Linked DNA regions of Drosophila melanogaster. The protein of the gene in region 1 interacts with the protein of each later gene in a pairwise test. Each region holds a gene or a part of one and is shown in the gene's direction. Other genes may lie near its edges. The genes, in order: Ube4B and CG7849.

The links.
Region 2: the proteins of Ube4B (region 1) and CG7849 interact in a two-hybrid assay, tested with the Drosophila melanogaster proteins (one large-scale study listed by BioGRID).

What each region holds. Positions count from the first base shown.
Region 1 is NT_033779.5:13,013,212-13,021,125, reverse strand, and holds Ube4B (ubiquitination factor E4B), read left to right. Parts: upstream 1-1,691; 5' UTR 1,692-2,336; intron 2,337-2,948; 5' UTR 2,949-3,069; coding exon 3,070-3,297; intron 3,298-3,464; coding exon 3,465-4,871; intron 4,872-4,939; coding exon 4,940-5,511; intron 5,512-5,625; coding exon 5,626-6,022; intron 6,023-6,087; coding exon 6,088-6,200; intron 6,201-6,450; coding exon 6,451-6,775; intron 6,776-6,834; coding exon 6,835-7,177; intron 7,178-7,242; coding exon 7,243-7,511; 3' UTR 7,512-7,850; downstream 7,851-7,914. Other genes in the region: CG9933 (uncharacterized protein), read left to right, coding at 1-895, 1,200-1,328, 1,397-1,450.
Region 2 is NT_033778.4:6,074,861-6,078,650, forward strand, and holds CG7849 (uncharacterized protein), read left to right. Parts: upstream 1-2,049; 5' UTR 2,050-2,115; coding exon 2,116-2,245; intron 2,246-2,300; coding exon 2,301-2,513; intron 2,514-2,562; coding exon 2,563-3,173; 3' UTR 3,174-3,228; downstream 3,229-3,790. Other genes in the region: l(2)k09848 (lethal (2) k09848), read right to left, coding at 20-140, 204-1,254, 1,311-1,398.

The sequences.
Region 1 (7,914 bases):
TATGCAAATCAAGTGTGTGATGGTGGAGACAACGACGACGGGCGACGGAGACTCCACAGTCGGAGATCTGGACAACTGCAGCAGGGATTCCGCTGCGGAATCGATTAACAAGGAATCCGGTTCGATGGAGGGAGCCGGCAAGCAGACGGATCACAAGACTGAAGCTGCGGCGGGGTCGTGCGGCGAGGGCGACAGTCCGCAGAGCAGTCAATCCCCACCAGAACATCCGGCCAGCAAATCGCCCACATCTCCATGCACTGCCTTCGAGACGAAAGTCAAGCTTATATCACAGAACCTCAAGGAAACCACGCTGGCGGAGAGCACCGGCGCCTCCGTATCAGCATCCACATCCACATCAACACCCACGTCCGCCTCTAGTAGCATCAGCGGCAGCATGCTGGAGTCGCAGCAGACACCCAGCCAGTCCACCCCCGAAACAACAGATTCCGCCTCGTCGTCCGTGCGCGTGAAGAAGGTACGCTTCCATCCGGACGTCAAGGAAAACGACGGCGGGAACTGGATGAAAAGAAAGCGACGCTCCATGCATACCAAACGAACCTCCTCGCCCAGCGGCGCTAACTGTGATGGCATGGAGCTGGACGGTGAGTACGAGGACAACGATGACGATGAGCAGGAGGAGGCGGAGGAGGAGTTCGATCTGGCCAAGACAATCGCCGAGGCGGAGGATTACCTCAAGCAGCACCCGTTGACATACGTGCAGCGCGTCGAACAGAACGGCGAGCGGCTGCAGGATGGACTGCTCAGCATCGAGGATATGCTAAACGAAGTCGGCGAGGAGGTGGTCACCGAGTACAACGACGAGGACTTCTTCAGACGCATCAAGCCCGAGAATGGCATTGAACGCATTCTGGGCAAGGAGACCAAGGCGGGAAAGGTACGTTTGCAATACGAAAGCAATAAACTATCAGTACGGTTTAGGGTTCACAAATTTTCTATGAATTCGATTACAGTTTCATTTACAACACATTGTTGGTTTATTCATATCATATTTAGTAAACAAAAATTCTAAGCTGGAAAAGGTTTGCTATATGACTTTTGCTTTTACAAAATAAATAAGCCAAAGATCAGCTTTCTTTACTTTGTAAAGCGAAGGAAAACTTTTAAACAGTCTGAATCTTATGTAGTTTGCCCTCTATCCCAATTGTAGGTATCATTTAATAACCTTAATATCCTTGCAGGTTGAATTCCTTCTGCGCTACGAGAACCAAGGCGGACTCTTCTGGCAATCGGAGGAGTTCATCAAGCGCACGTGCCCCTCGCTGCTCAAGGCCTACGAAATGAATCGAGAACGACGTCAGCAGCGCTTGGTTAGTCCTTATCCTAATTAAAACCACATATAATGCCAGTTTGTAATTCAAATGCTTGTGTTTTGCAGATGCATCACGTTGCCAAAAGGCAGAGTCTGCGACAGCGATACACGGATTTCTAGTAGCGGTTACTTAGGTATTAGGTTCATAATTAGGTTCCACATAATTGTAACATTTTTGTAAAATGAAGTAAATGATTTTCTTTTGTTGAACAAAAATAACTAAACAACACTTGCTTTTCATTATGTGTCATGAGGAATATAACCATTTTGGTAGGCCTAATTTTTGATTTCCCATCGTTAATCAGTTCGCACCTAGTAATTCAGCGATATTTAAATATTTTCAAACGACAAACAAACAATAGTTTCAGATATTTTCAAACTAGTTCTCTTAGAGCAAAAAGGATATATAAATTGGGTATAGATGCTTAGAGAACATTATTGCAATTAAAGGCAAAAACAAAAGTGCAAATTTAAAATTACAAATAGTATTCAAATGATTCACAACTTTTCGGATGTTTAACGAAATTTTAAATTCGATAATGAAATCATAAAAATATGAGGGCCCTGCAAGGGTTAAAGCAACTATCGGCGAACATTCCATCTTTAAGTGTGACCACGCCGCGGCCAGTGTGACTGTCGGCCACCAGACCAAACTGAAACACTGTTCGTCGACTGACGCGAAACCCAAAAATTATAAGTAATTCAATTGGAGGAAAGTTCGGAGGTCTGTATTTCTTGAGCCCATCGCCTGGCCAGTGAAGCATTTGTGTCGATATACGGATCGCATTCGGGCGATCCCCACATAGATATAGCCAGCCGAGGGCCGATAACCAATCCCCACGAAGCTCGCAGAACAAAAGAGAAATTTTTTGCGTGGTCACCACCAGACGTGGAATTGTTCGGGTGAATTGTCGAAACCATATAGAGTTCCGTAAAATGCAATAGTTACGGGCCGTAGCACAACCAATACGTTTTGCAGCAGGTGAAAGTCGGTCCGTAGAGTCAGGTAAGTGCGAATATATGTGCGGCGCAATCCTCGATTTTCCGTATTTCACACACCCTCACATCGAACCTATGTCCGATTATATATCCCACGATTTTGTGTACTTTATCCGCCGTCTCAAATGCGCAAATGAGCTGGTGATATCCCGTGCCGATCCGATCCTATTCGATCGGCTATCCCTAAACATTATATAAGGTTTCGCCATCCGATTCCGCATATGTTATGATATTGTTTACTGCACTTGTTTTGGGTGCAGTGCAGCGCCAGTGCTCGAGAAATCCTCTTCTAAAAATAGTTGCAGCCGTGCACTTTTTGTCAACCTCGGCCGATCTGCGTCCGCTTTTGATTCGCACACTGACTGTGTGCGGCAGGTCAGTTGTCCTGGTATGCTCCCAGCTATGCTGCACATCATCCATCTAGTGCGTAGTTGCGTAGCACAAAGAGAAACGGCCAATCCATCTGGTTTTGGCGATGGCGGCATTGTCTTCGCGTGAACTTGACGTTGACCGCTGGACTTTGTTTTAATTTTCTCTTTATTTGTTATTTTATTTATTTGTCGAGTGCGCGTGCTTTTGTTTGGTTCATTAACCCACATCATCGCCTCTTATTTTGCAGCAGCATCAGAAGAAGCGGCGGAAAAACTACGCCACAAACAAACAAAAACAGTGAGAGAGGCGAAAACAGATTTGGTAGCACAACTGCGCATTGTTTCCCAGAGTACCAGCGGATCCGAGAAATGCCGGAAGAAGAGCCGCCACAAAAGCCCATGGAGGAGGAGGAGGATGATGATCAGGAGCAGGATCAGGATCAGGACCACGAACAGGATCAGCACGAACAGGATCAGCAGCCCCAGTTAGCGCAGGGCGAGATACCCGGTCAGCAACTGCCTGAGCAACCCAACCCCGATGTGCAGCCGCAACAGCCGGCCGAGTCTGTGGTGGTCACCGAATTATCCGCAGAAGAGGTATATCGTTTTCGCAAACTTAATGAAGCAACAAAATATCATATTTAAAGTTATCTAAATCAATAATACAAGTAAACTATTTTGTAAAAGGAAAACGAACTTTAAACTATGATATACTTTAATTGGTAACAGCTAAATTGGTGAACTAACCTCTTTAATTCTTTCAGATGCGCGCCCGTCGTCTTCGGACTTTGGCTGCCCGAAGTGGCATCCAGTGTGCCCTGGCGCCCCTGACTACTACGCCACGGAAGCCGACCAACGTCTCTGGCGAGTCTCGACTGGTACGTGAGGCCACGCCCGGCGAAAAGGAGGTATCGCTGCCCACTTCGGCGCCCGCTTGGAGGGAACTGAGCGGAAAACCGGACATGGATGTGGAGATGAAGTCGGTGGTCTCGACACCAATGCAAGATGTGGATATGACGACAGCGCTCAGCCTGCCAACAGCCGAGGCCACCAAAAGGAGTGTGTTGCAGAGTTGCAAGATATCCGCTGGAAATGCCGAGTTGTCCATTGAAACTGTAGTCGGTCCAAAAAAAAGTGCGGATGAGCAAAACGAACAATTGCTCTCCCGCCTACTGAATGCCACGTGGAATGAGTACGGTAGCGGGTCCATCATTTGTGCCCAGAGTGCCAGCTTCCTGGAGCAGCAGCCACACCGCAGATTCGACTTCGAGTGCATTGTGGCCAATGTGCTCATGGAGGCTGTTTTGAAGATCTACAACGGTGAGCTGATCGAAGGAGATGGCGTTTCTGTTAAAGCGGACGATAAAGAGTTCTCCTCTGCCAAGAAAATTAAATCAGATGATACGGAAGTACAGGAAATCCTTGCCAACGCAGTAGCCACCGGTGGAGCAACTGCCAGCGGAGAAACTGCGGCTGCGGCTGCTGGCGCATCTGGACCAATTGAAGCAACTAGTAGCGAGGCAGCTGGTACTTGCGTGGCTCCACCAGTGCTTAGCATCGTTGCCACCACCAAACACCACGTGCTGCTCTATTTAATCCGTTGCTACCAGAACTATCAGACAGAGTGCTCCCGAAAGACGCCGCTCACCCAGCCTGCTCTGCAGCTGGCGTTTGAACAGGTGATGCGAATGACCGTCTTGGTGCTCACCGATCGCATTTACCAGAATCTCAACGGCCACATGGATCAGTCTGCTCTGCTGGATCTGATGTACATGGCCAAGGTGAGCGAGCCTTTCCTCATCGACTTGATAGCCCACACTCACCAGGATCGCGAAGCATTCGACACAATTTTCAGTCAGGTGCTTCGTGGCCTCTTTGCCGGAATGCAGCGCAATATCTGCACTTCCAAGATCAGTGTGCAGCAAATCGAATGGCTGTCCAAACTGGTGGTCATCAAGGTGGGCAGTGTGCGACCCATCGCAGATCTCGTATCCAGGCAGCCCAACTTCCTGCCACCCATCTGCACAAAGATCTCCGGTCGAGAAATAGTAAAATGCAGCTTTCTGGGACCCTTCCTTTCCGTGTCGCTGTTCGCTGAGGAGAACATCAAGTTTGCGGAGTTTACCACCAAGAACAAGCTTGAAGATGCATCCAGCTCTCGATTGCGATGGGTGAGTAACTAATTACTAATGTAATGTTAAACATAATGTAATCATTGAATGAATTCTTAATATTTTAGGAGCTGCACTCAATGCGCACCAATATGCACGTAGTGTTCCATTCACTGTGCGTAAATGCTAGCAGTCGTCCCAAGACGCTGGAATACATCGCCAGTATCCTTCGGCACAACGATCGTCGTGTGCAGTTCGCCAGCGACGAAAAGCTGCTGGCCAGGGACGGTTTTATGATTAACCTGATGAGCGTGCTGCAGCAGCTGTCGGTGAAGATCAAGTTGGACCGCATTGAGCCAAATTTCCATTACTACAAGAACTCGCTCGTTAACATCGAGCAGGACACGAAGATTAGGTACAGCGAGGAGGAGTACCGCAACTTCCTGGCCCGTGATTTTAGCCAGCCCGTGGAGAACACAAACTTCCAGACGCAGTGTTGGTTCCTCACCCTACAGGCCCATCATCTGGGCTACCTGCCTGCCATCCAGCGCTATCGCCAAAAGGTGCGCGCCATTAAAGAGCTGCAGAAACTCATCGACGAACTGGACCGTACCAAGTCCCATTGGATGAACTCCCGCTACGCCAATCGTAATAATCAGTTTAAGGAACGCTGGGAAAAGCAACTGCGAAAGCTAAATCGGTGGGTTATTTAAAATCATTTCATCATTTTGTGACCTTCACACGTTTAGTGAGTCACTTCCACTTAAGTGTGACACATCTTTGAATCTAATTTGGTATCCCTTCCGAATTTTAGATCAAAAACCTGCTGCGAGATCACTCTTTTGGATCCGGGCCTGCTCCAGCGCTGCACGGAATTCTACTCTACTGTCTGCGAGTTCATGCTATACCAGTTCGAGGGACGCCCGATCGAGGGACCCTTCATCTCCAAACTGCCCGTGCAGCAGCTATTACCAACGGATGCATTTTCCGCACTGCCCGAGTGGTACATCGATGACATCGCTGAGTTCATCCTGTTCACCATGCAGCATGCCAACATGGACATCCGTCAGGGCATCGACCACTCGATCATCACCTGGCTGCTGACCTGCGTCTGCGCATCGCACCTCATCAAGAATCCATATGTGACTGCCAAACTGGTTGAGGTGATGTTTGTGTTCTCCTTGAAGCCAGCCAACTCGGTTAACGCGGCGGTAGGTTCCGGTTACAATCGCCTAAGTGTCATACTTCTAAAGCTTTGTTTGTGTGCTCCAAACAGATGTGGAACCATGAGTTGGCCCAGAACGCCCTGGTCAGCTCACTGATGAGATTCTATGTGGACGTAGAGACAACGGGCCAAAGCACTGAGTTTTACGATAAGTTTACCATTAGGTGAGCATGCCAACCGAGCTACCTTCATAATTTAGAATGAGTCATAACGGCGGTTACGCACCCTCATTGTGGTAACCCAGCACGGAAAAGTTCCAAAAGTTATTTGAGGCGTAGATAAACACTCTTTTATATACAGCTAAATGATCTGGGCAATACAAACATGAATATATACATATTCGTATTTCATACTAATACGCTTAATGTATGATTTACAAACACGTGTAATTAATCAAATATTATTCCTGTACAGATATCATATTAGCCATCTGTTCAAGTCCATGTGGGAGAACCCCATCCACCGGCAGGCCGTTATTTGTGAATCCCGGGTGGGAAATCAGTTCGTAAAGTTTGTCAATATGCTGATGAACGACACCACCTTTTTGCTGGACGAGTGCTTGGAGAACCTGAAGCGCATACATCAGACCCAGCAGCTGCTATCAGATAAGGCCAATCTCAGCAAGATGAGCGCGGAGCAGCAGCAGAGCCGACTTACTCAGCTGGCGACGGACGAGCGCCAGTGTCGCTCCTACTTGACCTTGGCTCGCGAGACAGTCGATCTGTTTCACTATCTGACAGTGAGTGGAGATAGAGTGTGGAGAGTGCTTATTAAATTTAAACCTATTATCAATTTTAGAGCGACATTAAGGAGCCGTTCATGCGCGACGAGCTCGTAGATCGACTGAGCTCCATGCTGAATTTCAATCTGAAACAGCTGGCCGGGCCCAAGTGCAACGACCTGAAGGTCAAGAACCCGGCAAAATACGGCTGGGAGCCACGCAGTCTGCTGGCCCAGATCTTCGACATATATCTCCACCTGGACTGTGATAGATTCGCTGAGGCCCTGGCTGCCGACGAGCGCTCCTTCGACGTTCAAATCTGCAATGAGGCAGCATCGAGGATAAAGCGACTGGCCCTCCGATCGGCGGTAGAGGTAGAGCGATTCAAGGCGCTCACACAGAGAGCTCACGAAATCTATGGTAAGAACTTAAGAAACAACTAAATAAATCGGATTGAAATGCAAATGCAAACGTTTCCCTTGCAGTTACCAACCTACAGACTGAAGATGAATGCGCCGACGCACCCGATGAGTTCAAGGATCCGCTGATGGACACGCTAATGTCGGACCCCGTGGTGCTTCCCTCCGGCACGGTGATGGATCGGGCGATTATTACCCGCCACTTGCTCAACAGCTGCACGGACCCGTTCAACCGACAGCCACTCACCGAGGACATGCTGGTGGCCAACATTGAGCTGAAGCAGCGCATCGACGCCTGGCGCAAGGAGCAGCGTGGCAAGCGGAACAATTGCTAAGTCGCGCACCCTTTAACCCATACTGCTATACTTAGGACTAGTTTAATGTGCAGTTTTAGTGTCTACCTATCTTCTACATATAAATATAAATATTCTTTGTGCAGGATTTAGTTTATTTGTGGTGCCCCCGATTTTTGGGTGGCCTGCAAGTAGCAGTTACCATTAATCACCGCTCCCGTTAGGAGTCCTAATAATTTAGATGTTTGAAAAATATTGAAAATTTTCGCAAATCTTTCGTTGTTTTTCTACTTGGTTGCGAAAAAAACGACACAATACCGAGTTGTGCGGGTAATTTGGTGATTTAAAAAATTAAATTTACTTGCAATTGGATTTCCAAATAAAAAATAATGAATTATACAAATGGTCTAATTGATTTTCGGAGGGCCGGATGGGTAAATCAAAT
Region 2 (3,790 bases), on another chromosome or scaffold:
TACGTAAATACATGTCGCTTTAACTAATCACAACTTTTTTCTTTTTGTTTTTTAAAGACTTTTCCGACGATCTTCTTTTTAGATCGGCCTTTGAAAGCTTAATATTAGACATCTCTTCCTCGGACTCATTATCGCTGTCACTGTTGGCCAAAATATAAGATTTTAGCGTATTATTAAATCACTCAATATGTAGTTAAACTTACCCCACAGTGGGCATCTGATCAAACATATCCTCGTATTCATTGTCCACAGATGTTGCGTTGACGCTCTTATTTTCACTCACGTTTCTATCCATTTGAAGGTCAGCGACCTCCTCAGGTTCTTCTGTTACTCGTGCCTCGTTTTCAAACGGTCGGATAAGAATCTTAGTGGCCTTTGATTTCACGTAGCATTGGTAGAGCAGCACTGTGGTTTCGGAATCATGGATACGAACGTATCGGTCTAGGCTTGCAGAGCTCAGAAAGCGACCGGTGGCATCTAAATGAAGGTCACTTATCCCGCCTGTGAATCCCTTGTACGTATGCACATGAGTTTTCATGCGTCGAGTGTCAAAGGCTTTTAGAGCACCCATTGTGGTACCCGTGTAAATAAAGTTTCCCTTTGCCACTAAAGTCGTAAAACTCATCCCGTGCTCCTCGCTGGCAAAACATGCAACAGGTCGACGCTGCTTACGCGTGTCATAGATGCGAACATAGCCGGTTCGCGAGCAAGTGGCCAGTACACTAGGCCCATCCACAAAGCCGATATCGCTGTCCCAAACCGGAACCTCTAGCTGCAGATAGTCGTTGGGCAAATTCTTCGAGGTGAAAATCTGCTTACCGTCGGCATTTAAATCGTAGACCTTTAGATTGTTTTGACGCTCTTTGCCGCCAGTTGCTACAATGCTTTTGACTTGGGCGCACTGGCGCAGGTGGTCCATTTGGTCACCCGTGGCGATAACCACGGGCTCGGACTCGTCGTTCGCCTCTAGCTCCAGGCTCTGTATCTCTCCGTTGCCAATGCCGGCAATAAGCTTGTCATTGTATCGGGCCAGACCAACAATTGGCGCAGCATTGAAGGATACTGTGTTCCTAGAATGTCCCTTTTCTGTGAAGGAGTGAATCTCCACGGCGTCCTTGGCCCGGCCTAGAAGGATCTCCGTCTGATCGTCGTTGCCAAAGGCCAGAGATGTGACGCGGGAATCCTTATCCAGGGCGCACAGATCACTCAGGTTGCTTTGTCCATAAGGGGTCTTCTCGGATGCAGGCACCAGGTCTAAAAAGTTGAAGTCATTATTATTATGCTGTTCGATAAAGAACAAGCGGACGTACGTTTAAAGGAGCCCGTGTGTGTTCCCACATACAGTTCGTGCTTCGCCGTGTAGTTTACATGTTTGGTATTTGCAGTAGTCCACTTCATCTCAAGACGCGGTTTCTCTCAATACTTGCGATTAAAACGTGAATTAATGGTATGCGGCTATACAAATTCGTGCGGTCAAAACAAATCCTACACGTGCAATAGAGATGTAAAAGACATATGCTTAATAATCGATGTTATCGTTTATATCGATATCTAACGGCCACCGATATTTTAATAACATTTAGGGTAGTCACTAGGCTTCAGTTTGCTGTTTACCAGTTTAAAACATTTTTTTCGTTGAAAACCACTTCTCTTGTGAGAATATAGTGATACGCATAAGACTTTATTTGATTATAACTTCTTTAAGTGCAGTTTTGTTGTCATTTTAAATGCAAGCAAATAGTATGCAAGCCACAGTGAGAATATTCCCGTGAAATTTGTAAAATTTATAGAAAATTTTAGCCCAATCGGATTTGTTTCTTGTTTTTTCGTGCGGTGGACTTAATTCTTGTTTTGCAGTGATACAAGCATGTTTTTTTGCGGGTATAAAGACCACAACGTTTTGAGAATTATTTCCAACTAAACTTTTTTTTAGAAAATTAAAGAGATATTTGAAAACAACATTTTATATGTAAATTTTATAAATTAAGTTTCAAGTGCATGTCTATACCCTATTCAGTACTGGGCAGCACATGTGCTCAGCTGTTCGTGTGTGTTCACCAACACTGTCATGTGAATTTAAAAACAAATAGCGCACATACGTAACTTAAAGCAGAAATGGCTCTCACCAAAGTTTATGATGCCGCCACAGTGTTTAAGCACATGAATGGCATTCTAAATGTGTACAAGCCATCCGGTATGAAGGTGAAACACGTGCGCAATGCTATTCTGAGCAACATTTGCAAGGGTAAGCCTAGCGCCATTTAAAGAACAAATTGAAATTAAAAACAGATCTGCAAAAGGACTCAACGAAATGGAGCAGAGGAAACCACGCAAGTTGCAAGAGAACATTAGCCTCCTGGGCACAGGCACTGCAGCAGATCACGTACTACATAACATAGGAGAGCAGACGGATCTATCCGACCACCTTCTGTCCACCGGACCGCGGTACCTTCCGCGAGACTTGATCTGCACCACAGTGTCCAGCCTGGGCGATCACACCAGCGGAGTCCTGCGTAAGTCATGTAAAACATTTTAAATCCAGATCTAACCATACTTTTGTAGTCTTTGGGATCAACAGGGGAGCAGGCCAGTCTAGTTCTATTCGGAAAAATCGACCAGTGCGGGTCTACCATCTAATCGGGCACCTAGGCATCGCAACCGAAAATAACCTACCAGACTCACGGGTCATAATGCGCTCCAATCACCGACACGTGTCCGCAGACAGGATCAGCAGTCTAGCCGCCTCCATGCAGGCATCCCATCAGCGTAAGATGTTTGAGCTCTGCGGTGTCGATTTGCAGACCCAGGAGGCCTATGAACTGGCCTGTAGGGGTCTCCTACGCCCAGCGGACGACAGTCAGCCCGTCGTCTACGGCATTAAGCTGATTCACTTCGATCGACCGCACTTCACCCTGGAACTGCACGCCATCAACGAGACGCAGGAGTACTTAGCTACGCTAGTGCACGATATGGCTTTGGACCTCCGAACCGTGGCGCACTGCTCCCAACTACGCTGCGTGCGGCATGCCCATTTTGATGTGACAGATAGTCTGCTCAGACACGCCTGGCACTTGCCAGGAATTATCAAGAACCTCCGTCAACAACGTGACATCCTGAGGGCGCATCCACAGCTTCTGCGACAACAGCGAGTGGAACTGCGAGCTACAGATTAATTTAGGAATTCATTGTAATTGAATATAGTCAAATAAATATAGGCAGATAAACTATAAAGCAGTCAATCAGGTCAATAATTCTGGTAATAATTTTTGATAAGAATATGCAGAATATCTGCTTATTTAAGTCAGCATAGTTTATTGACGGTTACAGTTCAAAATAGGTCATTTATAAAAAAAAAACGTAAGACTCTAGTTTAGTAAAAGTAAGATGTTTAAAACGTGATCTTATTAGAAGCGGTAGCCAAAAACCATACATTTCACAAATTTTTTTTGAATTAATTCTAAAAACAAGGGAGATTGCTATAGTTGATAACCTCGACCCATCGAAGGGTCAGTTGTTCCAAATTATGTAAACTAATTTCTTCGGTGCTCAATATCATTAAGAAGTGATTTTTTTCAGGAAATGTGTCATATACCAAACCTTGTGAATTTCAATGGTCACGCAGTTGGTAATTTAAAGAGAAATAGGTAAAATTTGAAAATAAGCTATATAATTATAGCTCTACAAAGACATTTAGGTTCAGTAGGAAATAGATATTTATAGCTGTTTTCCCGGTTATCTAGCGGATTTTTCCAAAGAATCAAAAATAGCGCACATGTTTTTATTTTAAAAT